Linked DNA regions of Daphnia pulex. The protein of the gene in region 1 interacts with the protein of each later gene in a pairwise test. Links are inferred from orthologs where the notes say so. Each region holds a gene or a part of one and is shown on either strand. Other genes may lie near its edges.

Evidence for each region.
Region 2: the proteins of poly [ADP-ribose] polymerase tankyrase-like (region 1) and proteasome inhibitor PI31 subunit-like interact in binary tests that used the Drosophila melanogaster proteins (3 or more experiments, as listed by UniProt). The link is inferred for Daphnia pulex from reciprocal best matches to the Drosophila melanogaster genes Tnks and PI31.

The regions. Positions count from the first base shown.
Region 1 is NC_060026.1:4,291,537-4,297,017, forward strand, and holds the start of poly [ADP-ribose] polymerase tankyrase-like, read right to left. Parts: upstream 3,627-5,481; 5' UTR 3,374-3,626; coding exon 3,175-3,373; intron 2,909-3,174; coding exon 2,639-2,908; intron 2,578-2,638; coding exon 1,364-2,577; intron 1,266-1,363; coding exon 1-1,265. Other genes in the region: copine-8-like, read left to right, coding at 4,190-4,269, 4,342-5,020, 5,092-5,215, 5,273-5,481. UniProt on the Drosophila melanogaster protein: Stimulates proteasome activity, probably by ADP-ribosylation of PI31. Modulates 26S proteasome assembly.
Region 2 is NC_060020.1:486,222-491,871, reverse strand, and holds the start of proteasome inhibitor PI31 subunit-like, read right to left. Parts: upstream 3,780-5,650; 5' UTR 3,561-3,779; coding exon 3,432-3,560; intron 3,373-3,431; coding exon 3,223-3,372; intron 3,155-3,222; coding exon 2,913-3,154; intron 2,833-2,912; coding exon 2,693-2,832; intron 2,616-2,692; coding exon 2,529-2,615; intron 2,157-2,528; exon of another isoform or gene 1,492-2,156; coding exon of another isoform or gene 1,389-1,491; intron 1,329-1,388; coding exon of another isoform or gene 1,210-1,328; intron 1,125-1,209; coding exon of another isoform or gene 1,027-1,124; intron 935-1,026; coding exon of another isoform or gene 842-934; intron 784-841; coding exon of another isoform or gene 651-783; intron 444-650; coding exon of another isoform or gene 342-443; intron 272-341; coding exon of another isoform or gene 95-271; intron 29-94; coding exon of another isoform or gene 1-28. Other genes in the region: uncharacterized protein LOC124192564, read right to left, coding at 1-28, 95-271, 342-443, 651-783, 842-934, 1,027-1,124, 1,210-1,328, 1,389-1,491; eukaryotic translation initiation factor 4 gamma 1-like, read right to left, coding at 4,871-5,061, 5,118-5,264, 5,331-5,406, 5,473-5,649.

The DNA of each region.
Region 1 (5,481 bases):
AGGAGTCGATGCCGGTGACCGTAAGCGTGAACTCCAATTTGTTTCAACTCTTCGTGGCCCATCTCCAATAAGATGTCGATAGTCACTTGCTCACGATCGAAAATCTCGCGCAAGTGTTCCAGTCCCAGACTGGAAAGGAACGAGACAATCGTAGAGGCGGTCGTTGTAGTCGCAGTGGTTTGGATCTGCTCCGGAACGTCATTGTCCGAGCAGCCGTCGCCAATCTGAGCTCCACTAGAAGATACAGGCACCGAGGTATTGGAAGCAGCAGCCAAGCCGGGGGAATCCGGGCCGAGCATCAGGAGAGGTAAAGGAGCTAAGCCGGGCGACGGACAAGGAGGCGCTATGACGACCGCATTTCCGGAAGGCAGGACTAAGGTATCTGAACTGGTCGATGGGTTGGCAGAGGCGCCGGCAGTGTTGCCGCTGCTTCCAGACGAGCAGCCAATGACAATAGACGATCCTCGTGGTGAAGGATTGAAGACGGGCGAGACGGGCGACGAACTGGCTGTCGGAGGAAGGTGTTGGGTCATGGCGTCCTGCAGTAAACATTTGACATCCTCGGCGGTCGACAAATCCAACGGAGTTTGTCCTTCCTGGTTCTTCATGTGGGGATCGGCCCCGTGGGCCAAGAGCAAGGCACAAAGCTGAGTGCGACCTTTCTGGGCCGCTTCGTGAAGTGGCGTGAAGCCCCAGCGATCGGTCGCGTTCACTTCCGTGTTGAAACGAATTAGCAGGGCGGCAACGTCCAGGTGTCCGTACGACGAAGCATTATGCAAAGGGATGAGTCCGCCTTTATCTTGGGCGTTGACGTCGGCTCCATGCTCGAGCAAGTACTCGGCCACGTCCAAATTGTTGTAGCCGGACGCCAGATGGAGAGGCGTAGAGTTACGGCCCAGCGAGTCACGACAGTTGATGTTCTGACTCGTCACGAGCTTGTGGACACGAGCTAGATGACCTTTCTTGGCGGCGTCCAGCAGTGCGGCGTCGCCGCGCAGAAGGTCGGCAATGTCTTGATCGCCGTCACGTACAAGGTCCAAAGGCGTGTGACCGTCTCGATTCTTCTTACTGGGATCGGCGCCGTGCTTCAACAACAACTTGACGATGTCGTACTTTCCCTTGGCGGCCGCTTCGTGCAGCGGAGTGAATTTCCACAAGTCAGAAACGTTGACGCTGGCTCCGGCACGTACCAACAACTCTGTCACTTCGTAGTGTCCGTAGGAGCAAGCATTGTGAAGCGGAACTAGACCGCCTTTATCCTTGGCCTGGAATAACCCATAAAAACAAAACAAAACAAACAAACAGATGAGTAAAATTTAATACACGTCCCTCACATTTGTATGGCATCGAGGCTCGCTCTCACCTGGACATCGCCTCCGTGTTGGAGGAGAAACTCGACGACCGCAAGGCGGTTATAACCGGCCGCAAAGTGAAGCGGTGTGGAATGTCGCCCATCTAGGTCGCGGCAGTTGACTAGCTGCGGCGAGGGATTGACGCCCAAAATACGACGGACATTATCCAAATCCCCAGCTTTGGCCGCTTCTAGCAACTGGTATTCGAGATCGACAGGCGGAGGGGTGGCATTGAAGGCCGGCTGCTCGGCGAAAAGCTTCTGCACAGATTCGGTAGCCACTTGGGCGGCCGTGTAACCCTGAAGAGAGACGACCGTGGGATCGGCGCCGTATGGAAGAAGCAGTCGACACACTGGCACTTGTCCTTTTTGACTGCTTCGGTGCAGGGCCGTTTGACCAAGGCCGTCCAACACATTGACTTTGGCACCGTGACGCAGGAGAGCCTCCAAAACGTCCAGGTGCTCCTTGTCGGCGGCAATGTGTAGCGGCGCGTGAAGCTCTTTGTTCTTCTCGTTAGGCGCGGCCCCTTTCTTCAAAAGGATTTCGACGACGTGCTTCCGTTTGACTCCGGTGGAGGCGACGGCACAATGAAGGGCAGTGTCTCCCGTGTACGGGTGCTTGAATCCAATGACGTCCACAGAGAGGAATTTCTTGAGACGAGTTGGATCCGCTTGCCGAGCCGCTTCCAGTAAACTATGTCCTTTGAATTCATACGATAGAAGGTCCTGGAGTTCCCGCGAAGGGGCAACATCCAGGGCGGATTTGGCGTGGCAGTTCAACAATGTCGGATCGGCCCCGTGGGCTAATAAAAGGGAACAAACTTCACGGCGGCCTTTGGAAGCCGCTTCGTGCAGCGGTGTGAACTGCCACAAATCCGTGGCGTTCACGTTGGCACCGGCGCGAACGAGCAGCTCCGTCACTTCGTGATGCCCGTAGGAACAGGCGTTATGCAATGGAACTAAACCACCCTTGTCTTTGGCCTGAACGTCGGCACCGTGTTGCAGCAATCTCTGGACGATCTGTGTTCGGTTATAACCAGCAGCCAAATGCAATGGAGTGGACTTGCGGCCGTCACTGGCATGGCAGTTTACATTCAACGGCGTCAAGAGGGAAAGAATTTTGTCTTCGTTTCCACTCCGAGCTGCCTCTAAAAGTTCCTCTTTACGATAATCACCAGTTAACACGGGTCGTGTTGTGGCGTCAGCTACATCGAGAGGAATTTTTCCTAAAAATAAAATTAACATTAAAACAAGAGCAAAAACATTTATTTGAATGATGTAAATTACCTTCAGCATTGCGAACATTATGATCAGCTCCATGCTGTAGAAGAACTATACACACATCAATTTTACCCTTGATTGCAGCCTCGTGCAGGGGTGTGTAACTCCAATTGTCCCTTGCATTTGGGTCTGCACCAGCACTTAGCAGAAGTTGAACAACTTCGGCATGACCGAAAGAACAGGCATTGTGAAGAGGAATCAAACCACCATCATCTCTAGCATGAACATTGGCTCCAGTGGCAATCAAATGCTCCACCACATCTCTTCTACCAAAACCTACAAATTTAAAAATAAAACATAAACATAAACTTGTAAAGATCTCACTCTCTCATGCTCTGTTTCACGACAGGCTAGTTATGCTGATGCATTTCACTTGAAAAGAGAAAAGGAAGTGATATTGGTGGAGTAGAAAACCAGGGTAACCTTAAAGGAACTAATAACTTCATTGAATGAAACCAAACATTTTTAGGAAGAGATCAGGTTGTGAAAAATGAAAGCTTGAATGATAGAGAGTTGAAAGTTATTTTGCCACAGTTATTTACCTGCGGCGAAGTGGAGTGGAGACGACTTTCTTCCAGCTGTATCACGGGCGTTAACATTTTGTGTAGTTACCAACTTTTTGACTTTAGAAACCTCTCCGTTCCGACAAGCTTCGAACAATTCACGAAGAGGATCACACGGACTGGTCGCAAGTAGATCTATGGCGGTATTTATCGAGGAGGTAGACCTTCTCGTCGCCATTTTACCACTAGTTTTCCACAATTTTTTTTCTTAGAAAGCCACTCAACTCAGCACCTAATAACCCGTCCTACACAACGTCCCGTTGTTACCAGACCAAAACAGCTGTGCCTCCAAGCTAGGAGGAGGCTGTCACTTTGTCGCTGGTAGTTTTAATTCAATTAAAAAAAACTGTGAATTATTGTTTTTAAATGACTGAAATATTAAATTATGTTTAGCAACCTACAAATCTGACCTAAAACTTGAAGTTCTAATATAAAAATGTGAAATTTGTGCTATTGGCATCGCTGAGAAAGTGTCAACTAGCCATCTAGCGCTGAGATTTTAAACTGACGAAATAAATCGGTGAAAAAATAAATTCGCATGGTGTTTCAAATAACTGAAATAAGGGTGGGTTCATTCAACCACAGTCACAGACAACGAATTGGTTCAATTAGGTAACCAATTTGAACAACACAAACACCATATTATAAAATAATGCAGTTTCCCAAACTTCTTCCTTGATGAAATATAATTTCTACACAATTTCAAAATAGTTTTAAAACGTGTCCCACAAAATCAAAACTCAAGAGGTAGTTGTATAAATGACATGCCAAGTAAGATTAGAACTGATTTCCAACCTAGTTTAAAAATGTGAATATGTGTGGGATGTGGGGAGAAACAAGTATGTGGGTCAATGGATGATACATTCATGGTAGATTGTGTTGTGTACACTTCTGCCGTTACTGATAGGGGCTTGACATGTTAGAGATAAGAATTTTTTATCAGTTTGCCTGGTTTCAAATCTGATGTTCTTACTTTATAGTATTCTCTTTATGCATGATGGCACAACAAAACTTTGTTCCTGGAACTGCTAGTCAAGATCCCAATAATGAAGTGGAGCTTACTATTTCGGCAAAGTAAGTATTGTACAAATAATAAATATAGCACTACCATTCAGTTCTACAGCAAATTTCATTACAATTTAACAGGAACTTGTCAAATAAAGATCTTGTTTCCAAGTCTGATCCTATATGTGTGGTCTACATTCAACAGGGCCAATCTTGGGTAGAACATGGCAGAACTGAGCAAATTGTCAACTCGTTAAACCCAGAGTTTTCCAAAAAAATTGTTATTGGCTACCGCTTTGAAGAACTGCAAAAGTTAAAATTTAAAATCTATGATATTGACAGTAAGAGTACTGCCTTGGATAAACATGATTTCTTGGGAGAGGCTGATTGCTCTCTTGGGCAAATAGTTTCTTCTGGCAAGATTGTTATCCCACTTCATCACCCTAAGAGCAAAAACAAAGGAGAATTGTGCATAGTAGCTGAAGAAATAGGGGCACTTAAGGAAGATGTCGAATTCCTGTTTAGCGCCGAGGGTTTCAAAAAGAGCGGGATCCTCAGCAAACCGGATCCGTTTTTAGCCATTTATAAAGAAAACACTCTAGTTCATCGCACAACGTTCATAAAAGACAACTGTAATCCAAGGTGGCCAAAATTCACTATCCCTATGCGATTGATACGCACAAAAGATCAAAAAGATGTAGCATTATCACTGCAGTGCTGGAATTGGAACGGAGATGGAAGCCACAAACTAATGGGCGAGGTACACACTACCACACAAGGAATTCTACAAACTCCCAAAACTTTCTCGTTGGATGATAAGGTTCGATTTATCCTGATTTGTTGAAAGGTTGTATATTTTTTTTGCTAATGAATTTATTGCTGGTAATGTAGAAAACAGGAAAAAGCGTGGGAAAGTTGTGTTTACATGAAGCCAAAGTAATTAAAACCTTTTCTTTCTTGGATTATATCACGAGCGGCACTCAGATTAACTGCACAATTGCCATAGATTTCACTGGTAGACGTTGATAAATCATTTAATTAGGTCGTCACTTTTAACTTTTTACTGTGTTAGGTTCCAACGGAGCTCCCAATAACCCTAATTCCCTACATTATATGGGACCTACGCCTACTCTCTACGAGCAAGCACTGCTGTCTGTCGTCACAATTATTCAAGACTACGATAGTGATAAACATTTCCCCGTTCTTGGATTCGGAGCGAAAGTTCCGCCTAACGGTATTCTTTCCCACGAATTTTTCGTCAACCTGACTCCCAATCCACAC
Region 2 (5,650 bases), on another chromosome or scaffold:
CGGGATTCACTTCACCAACATATTGTTTCTGCAATGGGGGAAACAAAACGGCAATGAAAATCAGAAAATAAAAAAGAAACTAGGGAACTCATACCTGAATCCAGCTACAGACGTCATCTGTAGTCAATTGGGTCGCGTCTCTCAAGTACTTCTCCAGGCTGTGCTGAAAATCGATGTTAACTTGACTGGCGGGGGTAGCACTGCTGCTGGACTTGCCAACACTGCCGCTACCCCTTGGTATAGAATCGACTTTGGAAAGGAATTCGAGTTCCTGAAACAATAAATGCAAGACATTTTTAATCGAATTCGAGGAAGGTTGTCAAACTACAATTCAAAATTACCTTATGTTGAGCGAGGAATGCATTCAGGTCAACACCAGATGGTAAAACACTGGTGAGTGGTGCATTCGACATGATAAATATTCTTTCAGCTCCAGCCACACCCTGAAAAGAAACGATGATAAAATTACTATCGATTTAATTTGATGCGCATTGTAAGCTAATAATTAATGTGAAATTAGGAAAAAACCAAGTTTAATTCAGTTTTCAGATAGGCAAATTAATGTAGCACTCTTATCTGCCGCATTCAATGATTAAACAACATCAAGGGCGGGAACGAAGAGAGCAGCAAGGAAAATATGGTCATTATACCTCATCATTTTGGAGTTCTCCGGAAATTCCACCTGATAACTTGCCAATATCTTGGGAATGAATGTTTGATTTTTTTGTGGTCGACTCTGATTGGAATTCGCTGTGCAAATTTGCTTGATGTGGGTCGGTAAACCTGTAACGTCGTTAGCAATAGGGCAATATAAATTGAACTATGGTAGCAACTAGTTTACTTCTTTTTCTCGAATTCGCCTTCATTTGGCTCTCCGAATATAGAGCACACATCTAGCAGCATTCCAGCAGACTCAAATGCCTTAGCAACAACACTGCAATAATAAGAATAGTATACAAAATCAACAGCTAGGACTTCAAAAACAAACATATGCAGTATAAATGTGACACAATAATTTTTTCATACTTAGTTAATGACAACAAAGGCGGCACATTTTCTGCCCAGCTTAACAACTTCTGGACCACACCTTGAAGATGAGCTCGAGCAGCAGGTATATCAGTAGTCTGTAAAAAACAAAAATAACAAACAAAAAAACATTGCCTTGATTTAAACAAACTGTTGACAAAAATTTGATTTTTGAAGTCTTACCTCTATTTTAGATTGCAGGTCTTGTTTGTTCTTCTCCAAAAGTTCCATTAAAACGAGCAAAAATGGAAGATCTTCTACTCTTGCCAGGATAAATCCTTGCTTTAGAACATACAGTCGGCCTATGAATGAAAACAGTTTAAATCTAAATCGATGTGAAGCCAGATTTAGAGTTTAATTACACCAGTAACTAATGAAAGGGTCCATGGATTCGTAATCAGTGGCCATATCCAGATATGGTTGCATACTTTTCAAGTTAGCAGGCAAAGAATCACGATCACCCATGATTATACCATATACATATGGTCACAATTCCGGATTCAGTCGACTAACATGTACAGTGAGAATCAACGCTGCTAGGCAGACAAGGAGTCTCACTCTGGCACAGCACTGCACAATAACCAGTACGCAGTAGCTTGATACACTTATACAGGAAAATACGGTACCGACTCAATCGTTATATTCTACAAAACTTTTGATACTAGAGAGGACAGAAAGCATCCAACGTCTGTGAAGGTAAACAAACGTTACAGAATCTTGAAAAAACCACGTTTTACTACCATGAAGGAGGAATGGAGGAGGGCTACTCGGGGTCTCGGGCTAAGGCTAATGTCGACATCTAGTAACGAAAAAAGAAACCAATATATTGCAGCATCTCGAAACTGTTGCCTGCAGGGCCTTATGAGTCGCTCCTCCTCCTTTCTTCCTTCATGATCCGACTTACAGCGAACAAAAACACGACTTGAAAAAATTCAGAAAGAATTTATTTCGTTAAAATTGTACGTAGTGAGTCATCAAGTGGTTACCTGGCGATTAAACTATAATATAAGGAATAATCTCTCACACGTCGCTGTTGAGTAGGCCGATTGCGACATAACACAACGCTGGATTCAAATAAAAAATGGTTGGGAAACGTGAAATTACGAAACACGCATCTTTTTGTTGTTTGATTTTAGGTAATTCAAGAATATTCTTAGTCCTTTCTGGTTTGGATAATCAGGTTTTTAGATCAAGCGTCTTAAGATAAAGAACAAAGGTAAATGATACAGAAAATACTTATAAGTACATAAAGGCAAGACTATTCAACCTTTGTAATTTCTGTATTAGGCAAGTGAAAAATAAACAACCGATCGATACACGCTTCCTTTGTTACAACACATCAGGGCAATACATTTGCTTACACTTTTAGATTCTTCAAACTGATTACGACTTTTTCATCCGCCTCACACAACCCACTAACCGTAATTTTGGACAATGTATTTACATAAACATGTCATGCGATCCAGGAGGCGGGAGATGATCAAAATCAGGGTCGCCAAAACCTCCACCACTTGGTCTCGGTCCTCTAATGGGAGGAATATTACCAATCGGACCGAAAGGGTCGAATCGCGCGCCAGGCGGGACAGCTCCTGATATGCGGAAACGTTATACATGTTAAAATTATGTTAACCTATTTTTAGAAAATGTTTCAATCAAGTCCAAATACCTGGAGGAAGGTTCCCTGGAATACCCAATGGTGGCCGTCGGCCCATGTGACGAGGGTCCATTAGCATACCGCCACCTCCAAGTCCTCTTCCCAGCGGATTCAAATCACCTCCTCCGACAGCAAACGGATCAGGGAACGAACTATAATGTTTCAATATACATTAATGAATGACTAAAGAGATGAAACCCAGGCATCAAACTCTTAAAAATGCAGTATTTGCCTTGCTGAGGGGTATGAAGGGGCTCCAGTAGATGTACTTTGTGGTCTCTCATCAATGATAATGGTGGAAGTTCCAGAAGGTTTGGAAGACACCTTTTCAACGAAAGGGTCCACCAATTCTTTTTGAACAAAATTGTCCAAAGTGACTTTTTCTTTGTATGCCTCATTGAAACTCTGGAAATTCTCTCCAATCCAACGATCTGTGTCCAACACCAGAGTAGCAACTTTCTCATCTTTAACTCGCTGAAAAAGATTCAACACAGATTCAACTACAGTTAATAGAAAAGCAAAACAATGCATTCAATAATTACCATAACAGTAAAAACCAGTTCTCCATCAACAATAACGGCTTTTAACAAATGTTGTTCTCCATTTTTTACATATTGAAGTTCATACACTGCTTCTGAATTCCAATTTTCGGGAAGTACTTCCTTTCTCTCTGCATCTTCAACATTCAGACCCTTTCCGAAAAATGTTAGCTAACTTTGAAAGTGGATTCTATAGGTGTCAATGCACGTACCTGTTTAGAATGCAAAACCAAATAACCATTCGACAGCAATTTCCAGTGAACGAAAGTAACAAGACAATCTTGCTTCTTATTTAAGGGTTGAGAGTTGTGGAAAGTCGATTCTAGCCACAAAAAAGCCATTTTCGGTCTATTTGGAGTACAACGTTCTAATAACTAATTTTTAAAACGTTTACACTCCGTTACCAGAAGACAGTTACCAAAACCAAAACAAACATGACTCGACGTTGCCATTTATCATAGAACCCCTGACTAAACCAATCAATCAAAGAGAAAATTTGATTCCAATCCCCATCAAGCGAACTGAAGTCGTGAATTCGTGATACATACACCTTACAGGAGTTGTCTTTAACTGATTTTAATTATTCAACTGTGGATTGCTGAATGGGAATATAAATTCTGGATTTTCGGCACCCACTTACCAGTTTTACCACAGACGTAAGCTTTTTCCATTTCCAAATAATCCTACCCTATCAACCTTTTCTAGAGGACGACGCTAAAATAATAAATCGGAATTTAAACAACATTTGAAATACAAATTAAGCATTCGTTTCAATTTCAAATGCTTTTCTTCTGTTATGACCTAATTCCTAACATTATAGAAGCCCTTTCTGTTTATATTCATGTAATGATAAATGTATTAGTAATATGGATGTAAACTGAGACATTAGTTTATCAATAACCTTCTACTGCAGTGTATGAATAAATCCCTTCAAAGTATCAGTCTTACAACAAATGTTACAAACGTTGCAAACAAAACCGCCACGTTCACAGAATGTGTAAACCGACTGTCTTTCACGTGGAAGGGAAGGAGGAGCGAGAGCAAGAATGAGTGGAACTCTACGTTCCAAAACAATTGCTTGCTCATTTCAATTAGCGAAAGCGCATCCATGAAATTATGGGTTGTTGTTTCTTATCCATCATATGTAAATCGATCATGCAATCAACATATCGCCCCCGGCCCAGCACAACATTTTTTTTCTTACACACATACAAGAAACAAAAAAAATTCAAACAGAAAAATGATTTTAAAAATTCTTCTCCTGTTTTTCATTTGCCAATGAAATGAAACGAAAAGAAAAAACAAACTAACAAATTATTCACACGATACCTTTCGCTTTTCTCTGACCGATTCTTTTATATCAACATTTGCCCTTCCTTGGATTAAAAATAATCCGCCCACACAATCAGTTGAAAGGGGTGTATGAAAATAAAGGGGCAAAATTCCAACTACATCATTAATAAATTTAGCCAGGTGTGCTCTTGGAGCACAATTATCGCTCAAAAATCAGCTCATTTTCATGTAATTAGGGAAGATTAGGGGCGATAAATCCCGCCAATCTTCTTCACTTACACGCATGCACACTCTGGCCTCACCCCTTCACTCACACGATACACTCACACAAATGCTCCTCAATATGCTTTTCATAAGGTCAGGCATCCGCCTCTTGATCGCTTTCAGGGTCAGCTTCCTTCAGCCACGTCAGAAAAGATGTGATCATCTTGAGTGCCACAGCTTTGCCTTCACGTTCCAAAGGATCGTCGGCAGACACCCACGACTCAAAGCCCTCTTCAGAAACGACGTTACTGTCATAGAGGGTCTCGAAGATGCCTTGAATTAAACCTACAAAATACAAAAGTTTAGAAAATCGAATCTTGCCACAATTTATAAGCACATACCTTTGGGGTGTTGTCGCTGGGTCACTAAAGTCTGAACTGCGTAAAGCAGTTGAAGCTCACGATCAGCAATGTTGTCAACGTACCGCCTCAACACCTCCGTCCGATTTTTCAAAACAGTGTTGTTCAGTTTACTGTCTGTACCACGTCCTAAATGTACAAACAATTTTGTCATTGAAAATTGTTATTCGACAATTAGTAAAAAAAATTCCTCACCTTCAATAGAACTCTCGGTTACTGCGGTGACCAAGGCACGAATGAAAGCGGGATTCACTTCACCAACATATTGTTTCTGCAATGGGGGAAACAAAACGGCAATGAAAATCAGAAAATAAAAAAGAAACTAGGGAACTCATACCTGAATCCAGCTACAGACGTCATCTGTAGTCAATTGGGTCGCGTCTCTCAAGTACTTCTCCAGGCTGTGCTGAAAATCGATGTTAACTTGACTGGCGGGGGTAGCACTGCTGCTGGACTTGCCAACACTGCCGCTACCCCTTGGTATAGAATCGACTTTGGAAAGGAATTCGAGTTCC